Rhinolophus ferrumequinum: one gene and its partner. Each later gene encodes a partner of the first gene's protein in a complex. Links are inferred from orthologs where the notes say so. Each region holds a gene or a part of one and is shown in the gene's direction. Other genes may lie near its edges.

Evidence for each region.
Region 2: the proteins of APLNR (region 1) and APLN are in contact, whole or in part, in a cryo-EM structure (PDB 8XZG), measured with the Homo sapiens proteins. The link is inferred for Rhinolophus ferrumequinum from reciprocal best matches to the Homo sapiens genes APLNR and APLN. Residues at the interface, in NP_005152.1 of Homo sapiens: Tyr35, Phe78, Trp85, Tyr88, Thr89, Tyr93, Ser106, Ile109, Phe110, Met113, Pro163, Val164, Arg168, Gln180, Cys181, Tyr182, Met183, Tyr185, Glu194, Glu198, Leu201, Gly202, Ser205, Tyr264, Lys268, Tyr271, Ser275, Cys281, Asp284, Leu285; in NP_059109.3 of Homo sapiens: Arg66, Pro67, Arg68, Leu69, Ser70, His71, Lys72, Gly73, Pro74, Met75, Pro76, Phe77.

The regions. Positions count from the first base shown.
Region 1 is NC_046294.1:11,827,092-11,835,076, forward strand, and holds the start of APLNR (apelin receptor), read left to right. Parts: upstream 1-4,731; 5' UTR 4,732-4,959; coding exon 4,960-6,111; 3' UTR 6,112-7,985. UniProt on the Homo sapiens protein: G protein-coupled receptor for peptide hormones apelin (APLN) and apelin receptor early endogenous ligand (APELA/ELA), that plays a role in the regulation of normal cardiovascular function and fluid homeostasis.
Region 2 is NC_046284.1:26,309,051-26,316,116, forward strand, and holds the start of APLN (apelin), read left to right. Parts: upstream 1-3,822; 5' UTR 3,823-4,130; coding exon 4,131-4,197; intron 4,198-7,066. UniProt on the Homo sapiens protein: Peptide hormone that functions as endogenous ligand for the G-protein-coupled apelin receptor (APLNR/APJ), that plays a role in cadiovascular homeostasis. Functions as a balanced agonist activating both G(i) protein pathway and beta-arrestin pathway of APLNR.

The DNA.
Region 1 (7,985 bases):
CACACAGCTACAGGCACAAAGCCAAGCCTGTCTCTGCTTTTCAGGCCAGGAACCAACCTGGGGGTGGGGTGGGTGAGGGCTACTGACTCACTGACTCCAGAGGTGCCCCAGCAGTCTGGGCTGTCCTCAAAGCCCCTGTGGCATGTCTGGGGCCCTGTCCTGCCAGGAGCTGTTCATCTCAGGCTCATCACAATACCCTCAGAAATCACCCAGGAGAGAGAGAAGTTCCCCGGGAAACCTGCTTGGCCTCTCCAGGGTAGGCCAGCCCAGGGGACACTGGCTGACAGTCCTGCCCTAGCTGCTGGTTTGCCAGATGGCTCAGGGTAGATTATTCTGGATCAATTTAGCAAAAAGTTGCCTTTGTGAATGCAGGGGAGCAGCCTTGGGGTGCAGACCAGCCTTTCACATCCTTTTCCTAAGTGCCTCCTATGGCTTTAATTCAATAGGCATTTACCAGGTGCCAAGTCTAGGGGGCACAGAGGTGAAAAGCCGCTTCTTCCCAGGTACTCTCTGTCCGGGGAGGGCTAACTTCTGGACTCTGGGGGCACATAAGGTCTGCCTCCAGCTACTCGTCCTATTGACCGAACTGGCATCTTCTGCGTTGGATGGACAGGGGCCTTGGGTATGAGGCTGGGTGAGGAGTGAGGCTGGCTGATTGCAGGCTGGGGGCACTCAGGCCATCTGGTTCCAGCAGGTTCTTGGCTGGAGGCAGGATCTTATCTATACTGTATCTCCTCTGGCCTCAGTCAGGGGTCCCTCCCAGCCTTGGCCTCCCATTCCCTCTCATTTCAGCCAGTCTGGTTCCTTTGGTGAGATTAACAACTTCTTACCTCCTGGGAGGCAGAGAGTCTGAGGCTAGAGGATTAAGGAGGTGGATCTATATCCTCTTCTACGGGGTCTCCATCTGGCTCAGGATCCAAATGGGTACAGCTGAGGGGAGGAACCTGATTTTGGGGACACCCTGAGCTCACTTGCTCCCCGCATGTCTATGCTCCTAGCTGCAAAGGGCAGGGGTACCTAAATCTTCCTTGGAGAAGCAGAGAAGATCTGGATTCCCTGGGGGTCTCAAATTTGGCTTTTATCCGGGAATGTCCTGAGCAGTTATTTTAATTCATTACAGGCACATCAATTGTGAGCTGACCTGAGCCAAACAGGTTCCTGCTCAACTCTAAGGTCCCTTTTGATAAGTCCAGCTTGAAGAAGTCTGAGGGGTTGAACTTGAACATCTGCCACCCGAGCCTGCTGTCAGGTTATAATGACAGCCATTCTGCCACCTGCATAGGCTTCTATTAGACAAACATGTGGGAGCAAGCAGGCCCCAGGCATCACTACCCTGTGTACTGTGAGATCCATGAAGCTCCAGCTCTGGGTCCTGGGTCCTATTCGGTGTCCCGACCGGCATTTTGCAGACTGCCAAGGTTCCAGAGGCTGGGCTGGCATCAGGCAACCAAGAACCGTCTTTGGGAATGGCAAGGAACAGGGCAGTTTCTGGATCGAGCTATGGTGCTAACTGTAAGGGTACCGTACAGACTATTGTTGTCTGGCAGGGCTCTTACACCCTATTCAATCAAGAGTAGGGAGTCTCTCTGAAGTATTTTAATCAATCCATTTTTAATTTCACCCCAAAGAGCTCATTTCAAAATTATGGGTATCCTTGCACTCTCCTACACTTTTTCTTTCTTTCTTTCTTTCTTTCTTTCTTTCTTTCTTTCTTTCTTTCTTTCTTTCTTTCTTTCTTTCTTTCTTTCTTTCTTTCTTTCTTTCTTTCTTTCTAAATTAAATTTATTGGGGTGATAATGGTTAGTAAAATTACGTAGGTTTCAAGTGTGCACTTCTATAATACATCATTTATATATCACATTGTGTGCTCACCACCCAGAGTCAGTTCTCCTTCCGTCACCATATGTTTGACCCCCTTTACCCTCTTCTACCACCCTCCACCCCCCATTACCCTCTGGTAACCACTAAACTATTTGCTGTGTCTATGAATTTTTGTTTCTTTCTTTCTTTGTTTTTTTCCTTTGTTGTTTTCAGTTTTATATCCCACATATGAGTGAAGTCATATGGTTCTCAACTTTTTCTGTCTGACTTATTTCACTTAGCATATAATCTCAAGATTCATCCATGTTGTCGCAAATGGCAGTATTTCATCTTTTCTTATGGCAGAATAGTATTCCATTGCGTATATATACCACATATTCCTTATCCATTCATCTATCGAAGGACACTTTGGTTGTTTCCACGTCCTGGCCACTGTATATAATGCTGCAATTGGCAAAGAAAGAATTCTCAAGGCGGCCAGGGGAAAAATAGCAGTAATCGATAAGGGAAAGCCCATTAAACTATCATCAGACTTTTCAGCAGAAACTCTACTCTGGTTTCTCTTTAGATTGTATAAATCTTTTGTCCTACATTTCTATAATGCTCAACAGATGACAAATGCCCCAATCTAAAAAGGGTTGGAGTTTTTTTTTTCTTTGGGAACACAGTGCTTGAATCCATGAACTCAAGACAGCCTTGGTTCAAATTCTGATTCTGCAAATTACTAGCTGGGTGACCACAAGTTGTTTCACTTCCTTGTGCCTCAGCTTCCTCATCAGTAAATTGAGATGAATGAGAGTACTTACTTACTAAAATAGTTTTGCCAGTTAAAAGAAATAAATACGTACCGTGTTTCCCCCAAAATAAGACCTAGCTGGACAATCAACTCTAATGCATCTTTTGGAGCAAAAATTAATATTAGAACTGGTCTTATTTTACTGTAATATTAGACCGGGTCTTATATAATATAATGTAATATAAGACCGGGTCTTATATTAATTTTTGCTCCAAAAGATGCATTAGAGCTGATGGTCTGGCTAGGTCTTATTTTCGGGGGAACACAGTATAAAATATAACATGTTCAGAAGAATGTCTAGCATGTAGTAACTGCTCCATATATAATCCTCATGAGGAATACCAACGTGTTCTCATTCACACACTGCCTTCAGGTAAAAGCCATCCAAGACCCTCGGACCTTTCTCATCTTTCTCTCCAGCCTCCTCTCCTGTAGTCCCTCCATTGCACCCTAAGGCTTTGACCATGCTTATTATAATTTCTCTATCTTTGCATTTTATATTTCTTCCTCCTGGCCTACCCTCCCTGTTTTCCTCTCACTTTCTATTCCTGTTCAAAGGGCACTGAATAGGGAGGGGCCTGAGGACATGTTTTCCTTGTGCTGCCCTATCTTTTTAAAAATGGAATTAATTTCCCACATTTACAAATCTGGAAATTTCTCATGAAATCCAGAATTTAAAGTTTTGTCAAGAAAACCATAAGGCACGGAAATGCTGGCAATCAGAGATGGGAGCTGAGGAGGCCTCCTTTCGATGGAGTGTGTTTGCGCACAGTCTCCACCACTCCTTATTGTCTCAAACTGCCTGTTTCACCCGTCTACATTCTTAGCCTGGTCTCTGCGGGTATTTGAGTTTGGGGTTCCTGCTTTGTGACCTCTGCAGAAGATTTTCTGACTAAACCTCTCTTGAGACAATGGATTCTCGTTTTGTAAACCCTTCGCTTTGGATGTAGGCAAGACTCGTCTCCTGATTTTGCTTCATCTCACCCCTGCCCAACTTTAGATCGCCTCCTCCATTCTTGGGGTGGGGAGGGCATGTGCATATTTTTTATCTTATCTTGTGCAGCCCTCCCCTCTTCCTGCCAAGAGGTCCTGGAGAGGTAGGCAGACAGGGCAATGTGCGTTTCTATGTGACTGTGCCCACGGCATCGACTCAGCGACTGCCCTTTTCTCTGCCTCTTCCTCTAGTTGTCACGTCTGGTCCCCATACGGCTGTAAAGAAACCTGGTCCATGTAGTAAGAACCTGAGGATTGAAATGTATCCATGTTCTCACTGCATAGTAATCCATATTCTCTTTTCTCTATCTATGGGCTCCTCTTTTCATTCTCTCCCTTAGTGATCGCCTACTACACGCCAGGCCCTGTGTTAGGTGCTTGGAGAAGAAGAAAAGCAAACAACAAAACTGGAACAAAATTCATCCTGCGACCTTGGGCCTCAGTTTCCCCATAGATTTAATGACTTGATTAGAGATCCTTTTGTCTGGGGTTTCTTTTGTCCTGTGACTCTCTCCTGACTTTCTAAAACTTTCTATGCCATCTGCAAACTTCTATCTGCCAACAGCTTATGAATTCTAGAGAAATTGCCCTATAACTGTGTCTGTAAAATATAAATGTTCCCAGAGAGAGGGTCAAAGCCCAGGGGTAAAGCAGCGTGACGTGAGCAGAAGAGTAAAGTGAAGTCTGGGAGGGAAAGAGGGGAGGGTAGGACAGACCCAAGGGGCCAGACCCGCCTGCCAGGAGGGCTTGCCAGATGCTCAGATCATCCTGCGAAATCTCACACTCTCCTAGCCCCCTGCCCTCCCTGGCTCCAGCTCAGGCTGGATTTCAATCTGCATAATTTGCCCCATTTAGAGGGGATGGGAGGAGGTGAGAACAGGAGGGTTGAGGAGGGGGCACTCCAAAGACCAGAGGAAACCAGAGGGATAGAGGCGGAGCCAGGAGAAGAGCTGGCTGCAAGGCACAGATAACATTCTGCCACTTGCCCAGTGACAAGAAGGAAAAAGAAAAGTGGGTTGTAACTGAAATATCTTAAGACTCACAAGTGAGGGGTTGGTCTGTAGGTGGGAGGAGGGAGTGACGAGTCAAGGAGGAGACAGAGACTCAGGAGGGCGCAGGAAGTGTCTTAGCTGAGGCTGGGGCAAGGCAGGAGAGGCTGGAGGGAAATCTGCAGAAGCAGGCATCCTCCTCCCGCTGCTGGGAAGGGCTCAGGACACCTTCGGCCCTTTTGCACCCGCCTTCCTTCCAAGGCTCAAGCCAGAAGCTCTGGGCGCTTGCTGAGTTGGTGACACAGCCACCGAGCTGGTTGCCTGGGGGATCCCCTGCTCGGCTTCTCTCTGCCCCCCAGCATGGAGGAAGGTGGAGATTTCGACAATGATTATGGGGCAGACAACCAGTCTGAGTGTGAGTACACGGACTGGAAATCCTCAGGGGCCCTCATCCCGGCCATCTACATGCTGGTCTTCCTCCTGGGCACCACGGGCAACGGCCTGGTGCTCTGGACCGTGTTTCGGACCAGCAGGGAGAAGAGGCGCTCGGCTGATATCTTCATCTCCAGCCTGGCGGTGGCTGATCTGACTTTCGTGGTGACCCTGCCTCTGTGGGCCACTTACACGTACCGGGACTACGACTGGCCCTTCGGTTCCTTCGCCTGCAAACTCAGCAGCTATCTCATTTTTGTCAACATGTACGCCAGCGTCTTCTGCCTCACCGGCCTCAGCTTCGACCGTTACCTGGCCATCGTGAGGCCAGTGGCCAACGCTCGGCTGAGGCTGCGGGTCAGCGGGGCTGTGGCCACAGCGGTCCTGTGGGTGCTGGCTGCCCTCCTGGCCGTGCCGGTCATGGTGTTCCGGGCCACCGCGGTGGTTCCCAACCTGGAGAACATCACCAAGGTGCAGTGCTACATGGACTACTCCATGGTGGCCACCTCCAGCTCGGAGTGGGCCTGGGAGGTGGGCCTGGGGGTCTCGTCCACGGCCCTGGGCTTCGTGGTGCCCTTCACCATCATGCTGACCTGTTACTTCTTCATCGCGCAAACCATCGCCGGCCACTTCCGGAAGGAGCGCATCGAGGGCCTGCGCAAGCGGCGCCGGTTGCTGAGCATCATCGTGGTGCTGGTGGTGACCTTCGCCCTGTGCTGGACGCCCTACCACCTGGTGAAGACGCTCTACATGCTGGGCAGCCTGCTGCACTGGCCCTGCGGCTTCGACCTCTTCCTCATGAACGTCTTCCCCTACTGCACCTGCATCAGCTACATCAACAGCTGCCTCAATCCCTTCCTCTACGCCTTCTTTGACCCCCGCTTCCGCCAGGCGTGCACCTCGGTGCTCTGCTGGGGCCAGAGCAGGTGTGGGGGCGCCTCCCACAGCAGCAGTGCAGAGAAGTCCGCCAGCTACTCCTCAGGGCACAGCCAGGGGCCCGGCCCTAACTCAGGGAAGGTCGGGGAGCAGACACAGGAGAAATCCATCCCCTACAGCCAAGAGACCCTTGTGGCTGACTAGGGCTGGGATTCCCAGGGAGGCCTGGTGCCCTCTGCCCTCGCGCTCTCTCTGAAAGTCAGGTCTCATGAGGGTACCCTCTCTCTTGCACTTGACTTCTTTCCCTGCCCCCTGCCTCCCGCCTCCCTCTTGTCCATTTTTCTCCGTTAGTTTTGGTCAGAGGTTTTGTGGAAGGAGTCTGAGCCCTGCGGACCCATGCTTGGCCACTCAATATCTGTGGGACTGACGTGGCACAAGTCTCTTAACGTCTCAGTTTCTCCATTTGTGTAACATGGGGGAAACCATACTGAAGGGTAGTAATATGATGTGTGCGTCTGGCTCAATAAAAGTTCGTTCCCCCACTCCCTTTTTCTTGGATCTCCAGCTCTTTTTTCTCCGTCCTTTCCTTTCACTTTTCTCTCCTCTCGTCCTCTCTCTGTTTTCCCCTCTGTCTCTGTAATTTTCACTCTGAATCCTTACCTCTGATTCCCACCCCTTCTTCCTAGCTCATCCCCCTCCCTCAATCCTTTCTTCTTCCCCCTTTTTACCTCCTTGTTCTGAAGGACTCCTAAGGGTTAAGAATCCTGAAGCTTGTAAACACCACTCCAGTTCAAGCTCTTTATCCTGTTCCCTGAGAAAGCCAAGGGAATGGGCTGGGGCGGGGGTGGGCTGGGTGTCAGCAAAGAATTAGCGCTGCAGTCTGCAGGCAGGCGCTCCAGAACTTTCCCCCAAACAGAATCAGTGCGCTGTGATTTCAGGCACTGGGGGTAGAGCGATTCCAGAAGGGGCCTCCCTTCCCACATCCCCTCCAAGATGTCAACTAGATGTGCTTTCTGCAGATGTCCTCAGACCCTTTCATTCATCCTCTGGTCTCTGTGGGAACCGGGAGGCAGTGAGGTTGGTGAAGCAACCGGCTATTTGGTTTCATTATGTGAATGGGGAGTTGGGAGAAAAAGGGGCATCTGCATTTCTTCTACACGCTGCTTGGCTTTCCTTCCCCCTCAAACCTCCTCCGACGCTGAGCTGCAGGTCTCTCCCCTGTCCCCCACACTCCCCACCCCGTCACCCCCAGGAGGTTTTTCTTGGGCACTGGAGATACTCAGTGCCAAGTCACTTTCGCTGCAGTGGAGATGCTTCTTGTGTGTGTGTGTGTGTGTGTGTGTGTGTGTGTGTGTAAGCCTGCTGAGCAAAGCATGAAGAGTAGTGTGCCTGTGTCACTTGTCACTTGGATAACAACCCCTTCCTTTCCACCACGTCTTCATTCTTCACACAGTATCCTTGAGGGAAGAAAGGACATGTTGAGGCAATATAGAATAAAAATGTGTCCACCCCCCACTGGATTTGGGGGCTCCGACGGCTGGTCCGTGCTTTAAGGGAGAAGTCTGTGTGTTTGCTCTGGGCTCCATATAAGGAGAGTACTCCCCAGAGCAACTGGTGCCCACGGCTTGAGGAGGTCCTATGTGTTGGGTCCCCATGCCTTCCCTCGTTTCATGAGGGACACAGGAGGCTGGTTAAGAGTTTCCTTTGGCCCCTTTCCCATGCTCCTCACCTTGTTTTGAGTTTATGGGTGTTTCTTTCATGCTCCCTCTTCCAGGGTCTGTGACCCTCTTCTTAAGGGGAGCACCTGCTTGCCATGGAGTGAAGAGCACTGGCGGGTTTTTTCTCACCTCACCATCAGTACCAGACTCCTTGGCTTCTCCTGCTGGGTGCAGGGGCTGGGATCATTGAGTGGAGCAGCCATGGCAGGGCTGATGGCATAACATCTACACCACCAGAGAGACCTTGAGGGCCAAATTGCTGGTGGGGCCTTTGTGAGCTGGGGGCAGGGTGACTACATTCTGGGTTTTGTTCTTGGAGGACTCTGGGTGTGGAGAACAAGGCATGAGCCATGGAGACAG
Region 2 (7,066 bases), on another chromosome or scaffold:
GGCTGTGTGAAAAAGTTAGACAACCTGAACTTTTTGCCAACAATTCATGGCTCTTGCATCAGGACAATGCACCAGCTCACATGGCACTGTCTGTGAGGGAGTTTATAGCCAGTAAACAAATGATTGTATTGGAACACCCTCCTTACTCACCTGATCTGGCCCCCGATTACTTCTTTTTTTACCCAAAGATAAAGGAAATATTGAAAGGAAGACTTTTTTTTTTTTAATTTTAAGTGTGTTTTTCCAGGACCCATTAGCTCCAAGTCAAGTAGTTGTTTCAATCAAGTTGTGGAGGGCACAGCTCACAGTGGCCCATGTGGGGACTGAACCAGAAACCTTGTTGTTAAGAGCACCATGTTCTAACCAGCTGAGCTAACTGGCTGCCCCAAAAGGAAGACATTTTAATGACATTCAGGATGTCAAGGGTAATATGATGACAGCTCTGATGGCTATTCCAGAAAAAGGGTTCCAAAATTGCTTTGAAGGGTGGACTAGGCACTGGCCTCGGTGTATAGCTTCCCAAGGGGAGTACTTCGAAGGTGACTGTAATGATATTCAGCAATGAGGCATGTAGCACTTTGTCTAGGATGAGTTCGCGAACTTAATTGTCCTATCTCATATTTCTAACTATTGGCATTGACCCATCTAAGAATCTGTTGGACAAATTGTGATGATTTTACCCAAATAAAAGTATCCAATTAAGGACACTTGATATATATCATAAACATGTGATTATTAGTATGACTATACAGTTCCTTCAATGAACATTTATTATTGGCTTTGGGTACCAGCACTGCTGGTGAGAACACATAGTCTTACTATCTCATAGTGTTGGTAAGACATATACACAAATATTTATGAGAATATGTAACATTTATACAATGCTTGCCTTACCAGAAGAGCCAAGCACTGTGTCAAGTACCTTATAGGTACTGATTTATTTAATCCTTCCAATAACCCAGGTAGCTAGGTACTAACCCTTTTTCGGATGAGGAACCCAAGTCTCAGAAAGGGCAAATAATTTACCCAAAGTTACCTATGTAGTAAGTGACAGAGCTGCCTTATTCCAGAATACACGTGCTTAAGCACTATGACTCACTGCTTCCTAATTTGATCCAAGACAGTATGAGTAAGGCATTAGAAGTGCAAATAAAGGGATATATGGTCCCAGAGCAGTGAGAATTTGCTTCTCAAATCTCAGTGAGTGGAGACAGATATGAAAACTGGTCATTTGAATATACTGTTGGGGTCATTTGAATATGCCCACGGGGGTTTCAGAGTGATTAATCAGGGTTGCATTCCTTGCCTCATGAGCCTCACTTCCAGAATGGGTAAGCTGGTGGAGGACCTTCTCCATAGGCCCACAGGGCACAGCGTGCAGACACGAAAGTGCTCCCAACACATTGCAAAAGTAACTGCCAATGAAAGGTACAGCTATAGCTGTTACAAAGTGGGCAAAATCACCATGAGCAAGAATGGCCTGAGAAAGAAGGAAGATGAGATCTTGGATCTGGGACTGGAAAAATGGATGCAATTTGGTTAAATGGAAAGAAAGATTAGATTAAAACATGATTCTCTCATATGTTCAGCTCTTTAAATCTTGCTCTAAATCCATGCCTTCTATTTACTGAATGTTGCTTGCCTTGAACACTTGGTTAGTTGTATTTTTTCCCCTTGTGCATTTTGAAGGCTAAGATAGGTGGGGGAAAGGATTTAGAGAAAGGAAGAATGAATAAGGTGTTATGATTCAACACTGTTATAATTCATTCCAGTCCTGACTTTGCCACTGATAGAATTTTCTGCAATGATTGGAAGGTTCTATTCTGTGCTGTCCAATATCACATGTGGCTACTGAGCAATGAAAATGTGGCCAGTGTGACTGAGGAAATGATTTTTTTTCATTTTATTTTAAACATTGTTAGTATCTACTAGATTGGAAAGCACAGCTCTAACCATTTAGCAAATAACCCCTACACACCCTAGTAATGGTGTAATTACATATGAGTGATTCTATTAGCCTAGTTACGTGGGGCACTCATTTGGGGGTGCATGGGCTTACTGAATCAGGGGTTGGAGCAGTGACTCTACAAGGGTTTATTCCTATTGGTACCGTGCCTTTAGGTACATTATCTCATTAAATCCCATAGCAACCCTGAAGAGGGTAGGGTGGAGATGATCATCCCCATGAGACCCGGTAAATTTTAGTAATGATATCATGGCCTTACAGCAGATAAGGGTGTGGACTAGAGGCCAGGTGTTTTTCCTCCTATTTGGAAGATTTTTTTCTAGGGGGACAGCATGGGGAAATGATCTCCTGCTACTAATGCCCGCTGCTCACAGCCTGGGCCTCACAGATGAAGAGGTGCTCTGCTTCACATCTCTGCCTTTTTCCTATTGGACTGTGGCTATTTTATTCCCTTCCCACTACCTTGATTTAGGCAAAAGGGATGTTTTTGAAAAAATTATTTATATATTCAAAATTATGTGTTGAGCACTATGCCCCAGGCACTGTTCTAGATTTGGGGATACAGCTGTGAACAAGGTGGAAATCTCTTTCTTGTGGAGCTGACAATTACGATGGAGGGAGATTGGTAATAAATTGTGTATGTACTGAATTGTATTAACATTTCAAACATATTTTAAATATACCGTGGCATACATTACGCACTGTCCAATCTATCTTTTGTGTAAATATGGAATTGCATTTCAAGCAAACTTCCTGGCCAGCCGAAATGTGGAAACACCTTTCAGTTTAGTCTTTTAACATGTGTTGAGTGCCACCTATGTGCAGAGTTAGATATTGGGGACTTCAGAGAGATGCAGAAGAAAGAGCAGACAGGATCCAATCTTAGGGGTTTCCCAGTCCGGTGATCAAGGTATTCCCTTCCTTTGTGAGCTCCAAGGCTGTAGGAACCAACAGTCTAGTCTGGGAAGGCAAATAACTTCACGACCCACTTACAAAGGGGAATCCGAAGGACATGTATAATGAATCCAGTCTAGACTGTTGGAGTCGGGCAAACCGTCCTCCTCTCTTAATGATGGGGAACAAAAAAGGGGACACCACAGGAGCTGCTGTATGTCCCAAAGCCAGGAGGAACCCAGGGGCAGCCCCTCCTGGAATATTGTTATCTGAATAAGATGGGATTTGAAGTGCCGCTGCAAGAATGAAGAACTCTCGGGCAGGATGGGCTGGGTGGGGCCATTCCAGGTAGAGGATGCCTCCTCGGGTCACTGGGCAATGAAGCAGTCTTAGGCACAAGTCTGGGCAATAATCTCCAACTCAAACCCAGTTTGTGTTGCAGAAAAGAGAGGAGGGCCAGTGTGGGGTCGTCTTGGACAAGCCCTGTTGCTGCGGATGGGCAGGGAAAGGAGAGGGTCAGAGATGCTGTGGGTGAGTGGGGGCAGCCTGGGCGGGGTCCTTCCCAGAGCACCTGGGTTCCTTGACAACTATTAAGGAAGTCAGGTGAGAAACGGTTAAGTGTGCCCCTCCACCGCCCCCAAATGCTTTCTATGTTTGAAATCCTTCAGGTCTCCCAAACCCTCTGGCTCCCAGCCAGGCGGGCATTGTTCGGGGAGCGATTGTGGTTGCTGGAGCTGCAGTGCAGCCTTTGTTGTGGGGCTACCTCCAGGTTCCCTCTAGCGCCCTGGCTGGGGCCACAGACTGCGTGCCCAGAGTGGGGAGGTGCGGGATGCTCGCCCCTCTCGGTCTTCCTGGCTCTCCCTCCAGCCCTCCGGATGACCACATGACCAAGTGGGCTCGAGGCCAAGCCACAAGCTACAAAATGCAGCCCCTGGAGTGAGCAAGCAGCATTCTCGCTGGCAGTCTGGACCTCGGGCAGCTAGAGCCTCCGCCGAGCAGCTAGCCTCTTGGAAAGAGTTCGCCACTGCCACCGGAGCCGCTGAGGCCAGCTTGGCGGCGCTGCCCGCGCAGGAGTGGGAGGCTGAAGGCGAGTGGAGCCGGAGAGCACCCACGGCTGGCCAGCCTGCGGTGCGGCCCAGGAGCCCGGCAACCTCAGCGCCCACCCGCCGGCACCAGCCGCAGCTCGCGCCTTTCTTGGCCTGCGGGCGCTGGGCCTCTCCGCCTCCCTGTCCCCTGGCCAGGGCCGCGGTGTGGTGGCTGGAGGAGCAGCATGAATCTGCGGTTCTGCGTGCTAGCGCTCCTGCTGTTGTGGCTCTCCCTGACCGCGGTGTGTGGAGGTGAGTGCGCTCCTCCCGCCCGCCCGCGCTCCCCTAGCCGCTCTCGGGCTGACGCCGCCGCGCTCCCTACCCTCCGCCCCACCCGCGCGCTCTCCGCCTGCGGAAGCCCGGCGCCCGCAGGGCAGGAGCAGATACGGGTCGGCTGCACCGGGCAGTCAACTGACAGGACGCCCCCCGGCTAGGGACCAGCCGGCTGCGGCCTCGGGCATCATCCGCTCTGCGTCTCGCCCCTCCTGGCCGCTGCTAGCAGTCTCAGGAGGTCAGGGCCGCAGGAGTGCACCCAGTGTCCCGCGCCCCATGTCCCACATGGTGGAGGGTGGTAGGGGCCATATCCCGCTCCCCTCATGGATCGATGGAGGGCACTGACCTGAGTCCGGTGGGCTAGGCTCCCGCCTTGAAGGTTTTTGGCCCCTGAAGGTTAGGAACTGCTGGCCCGTACCGGGGCAGAAGCCACTGGGGATAATGTGCCAAGATGCAGACGTGACACTTGTTGCATAGGCTGGAGAATGCGGAGGGGGCAGCGACAGGGAGCCCAACTATTGCTCCCTTCAGCTTGCATGTGAGCAAAGGCAGCCTCCCCCTGGCCTAGCCCAGCAGGGCCAGGCCAGGCTGGTCTACCTTACCCCAAGGTCCTGTCTGGTCTGTTCTGCTCCTGCACAGGAGGCCCACAGGCTGTTCTTCCATATCCTGGCTCAGGCCTCCCCTCTGGCCTAGACACAGGCATGTTTCACCTTAGTACCCCTGTCTCAGGCACTAAACCAGGAAAGCGTGCCTGACTAACATCTCCATTCAGCTCAGGGAAGGGGAGTTCTTTTGCCCCCACCTGCATCACACCCCCCACCTGGCATACTTGGGATTGGTGCTCACTCGCCCTCCCCAAACCTGTTCTCCACTCATGACCCAGCAGCCCCAGCCTGGCCTGCCTGGCCTCTGTGTCAGTGTCTCTTGGGGCTGCCAGCTCCCACCTCTACCTGCCACAGTCCTGTGATCTGGCTGTCACAGCTGCCTGCCTGGCACCGCAGAAGGAAAGGCCAAGACCAGGTGAACTAATGCCAGTGCCAGGGCTGGAGTCCCAAGGAGGTTGGAGCAGAGGGGAGGAGAGGGCAGGGCAACAAGTTTCTTAGAGGAAAGGCAAAGGACCCCACTTGGTTCCAGATCCTCCAGAGCAGGAGCATGGTCTGCAGCCCAGGAGCCTCTGAGGGGCCTGGTGGGGCTCCACCTCTCTCTCTTTGTAGGCCTCCTCCTTTGTCAGCTCTTGTCCTTTGGCACTGCTCTGGCCCTGGCTTTTTAGGAAGGTATATCAGTTGGGTGTGGCATCACACTGCCATCACCAATGGTCTTCCTCTCAGGGCCTAAGTGCTGGGTCAAGCCACCTCTTTGGTAAGAAGGGAGCAGGCTTTTTCCTTAGAAATTCCTAGTCAGACAGGCAATGGCAGGAAGAAAGCAAGAAATATGAATGAAAGGAACTACCTGGGTCTGCCCTCCATGAGCCTGCCATCCATGCAGTTGGCAGGACAAGATAGCCACCCGATACCATTACTGGCAAACAGTCCAAGGTGGTGCCTTCAGGGAAGAAAGAGTAGATGCAGAAAGGACATCCCAGAGGAAGCTGGAGCTACCTGATCTGCATACCTGGTGCTCCCCCGGAGGCCAAGTGACCTCCACTAGAACCCTTTTGGGGTCCAGTTGTTAGGGAAGTACTGGTAAAGGGGAGAGTTGGTTAGGGAACACTGTGTCTGGCCCAGACCCTGACTCTTCTTGCTTTGATTCACCCTTCTTCATCGTATCATCTATCTTCACACTCTGACTTGGGTAAATTTGTTGCTCTCACATTTTGCTTAAGTCTAGCACAGGAAACTTCCAAGGCTCCCACTGCCACTTCTCCACCCCATGATCTCTCCTGGAGCTGAGGAAGGGCACCTCTGTACAGGTGGCAACCAGCCAAGGATCCAGGTACCCATGCAATCTTCCTTCTGCCTTCTGTCTTGGGTCAGAAACAGGATCCCCAGAATCACGTTACCCTTGGCCCAGACTTGCGTGCTCTTCCCACACAGAGTCCCCAGTGAGAGTCCTGGGCCTGAAAACCATGCTTCCTCCACAACACACTCTGTCCTGACTTGGAATGTCCCTCCTCCCCCACACAGCACACACATACTCCTCCACTGCCTCTTGACCTGGGACGCACTTTGCTCTTCTGAGTCTGAGAGTTGCTGAGCTGGGGCCAAGTGTCCCTTGGTCTTTGTCTGAGCACCTCTCTTTCTCTCCTTCTCCTCCCCCTTCCCAGCCCCAGCTCAAAGCCTGCAGTCACAGTGATAATGTGAGGACAGCCTACTATACTCCTCCTGCTCAAGGAGTGGGAATCAACACTCTATCCCCAATCCCTATGTGCTAAGCACCCATGTAACCTGAGTCAGGTCTCACAGGGTGGCAAAGGAGTAATGCAAGTGAAGTGGAGGTCCAGGCTGCAAGGGCAGCAAAGATGGCCTGGGAAGATCCCTTAGGACACTGTGGTGGGGGGCCAGGCAGGAAAAGGAGAGGGGCTCATCCTGGAGACACATGCAGCACACCCGAACAGTGGAGGAGACATAGCCAACAAGGTCCCCAACAGAGCACTTGTGTGGGCTTTAAAAGCAATCACAAGATAACCTGGGTGACTAGAGGTGTGTCATTGCTGGTGAGGCTGGCTTGTTTCTGAAAAGTCACATGAACCTCTTTGTGCATTGGCAGACTTGGAATCTAGGCTGTCTGAAAATCAAACCCTTCTTACCCCTGACTGTGGTTCTCCATGTGGAGATGCTGGAGCTTCATTGCTAATGGTGTTTTGGAGAGCAGTGGCTGCAGTCCCTCTAGGCTGGAGATTCTTTGGGGA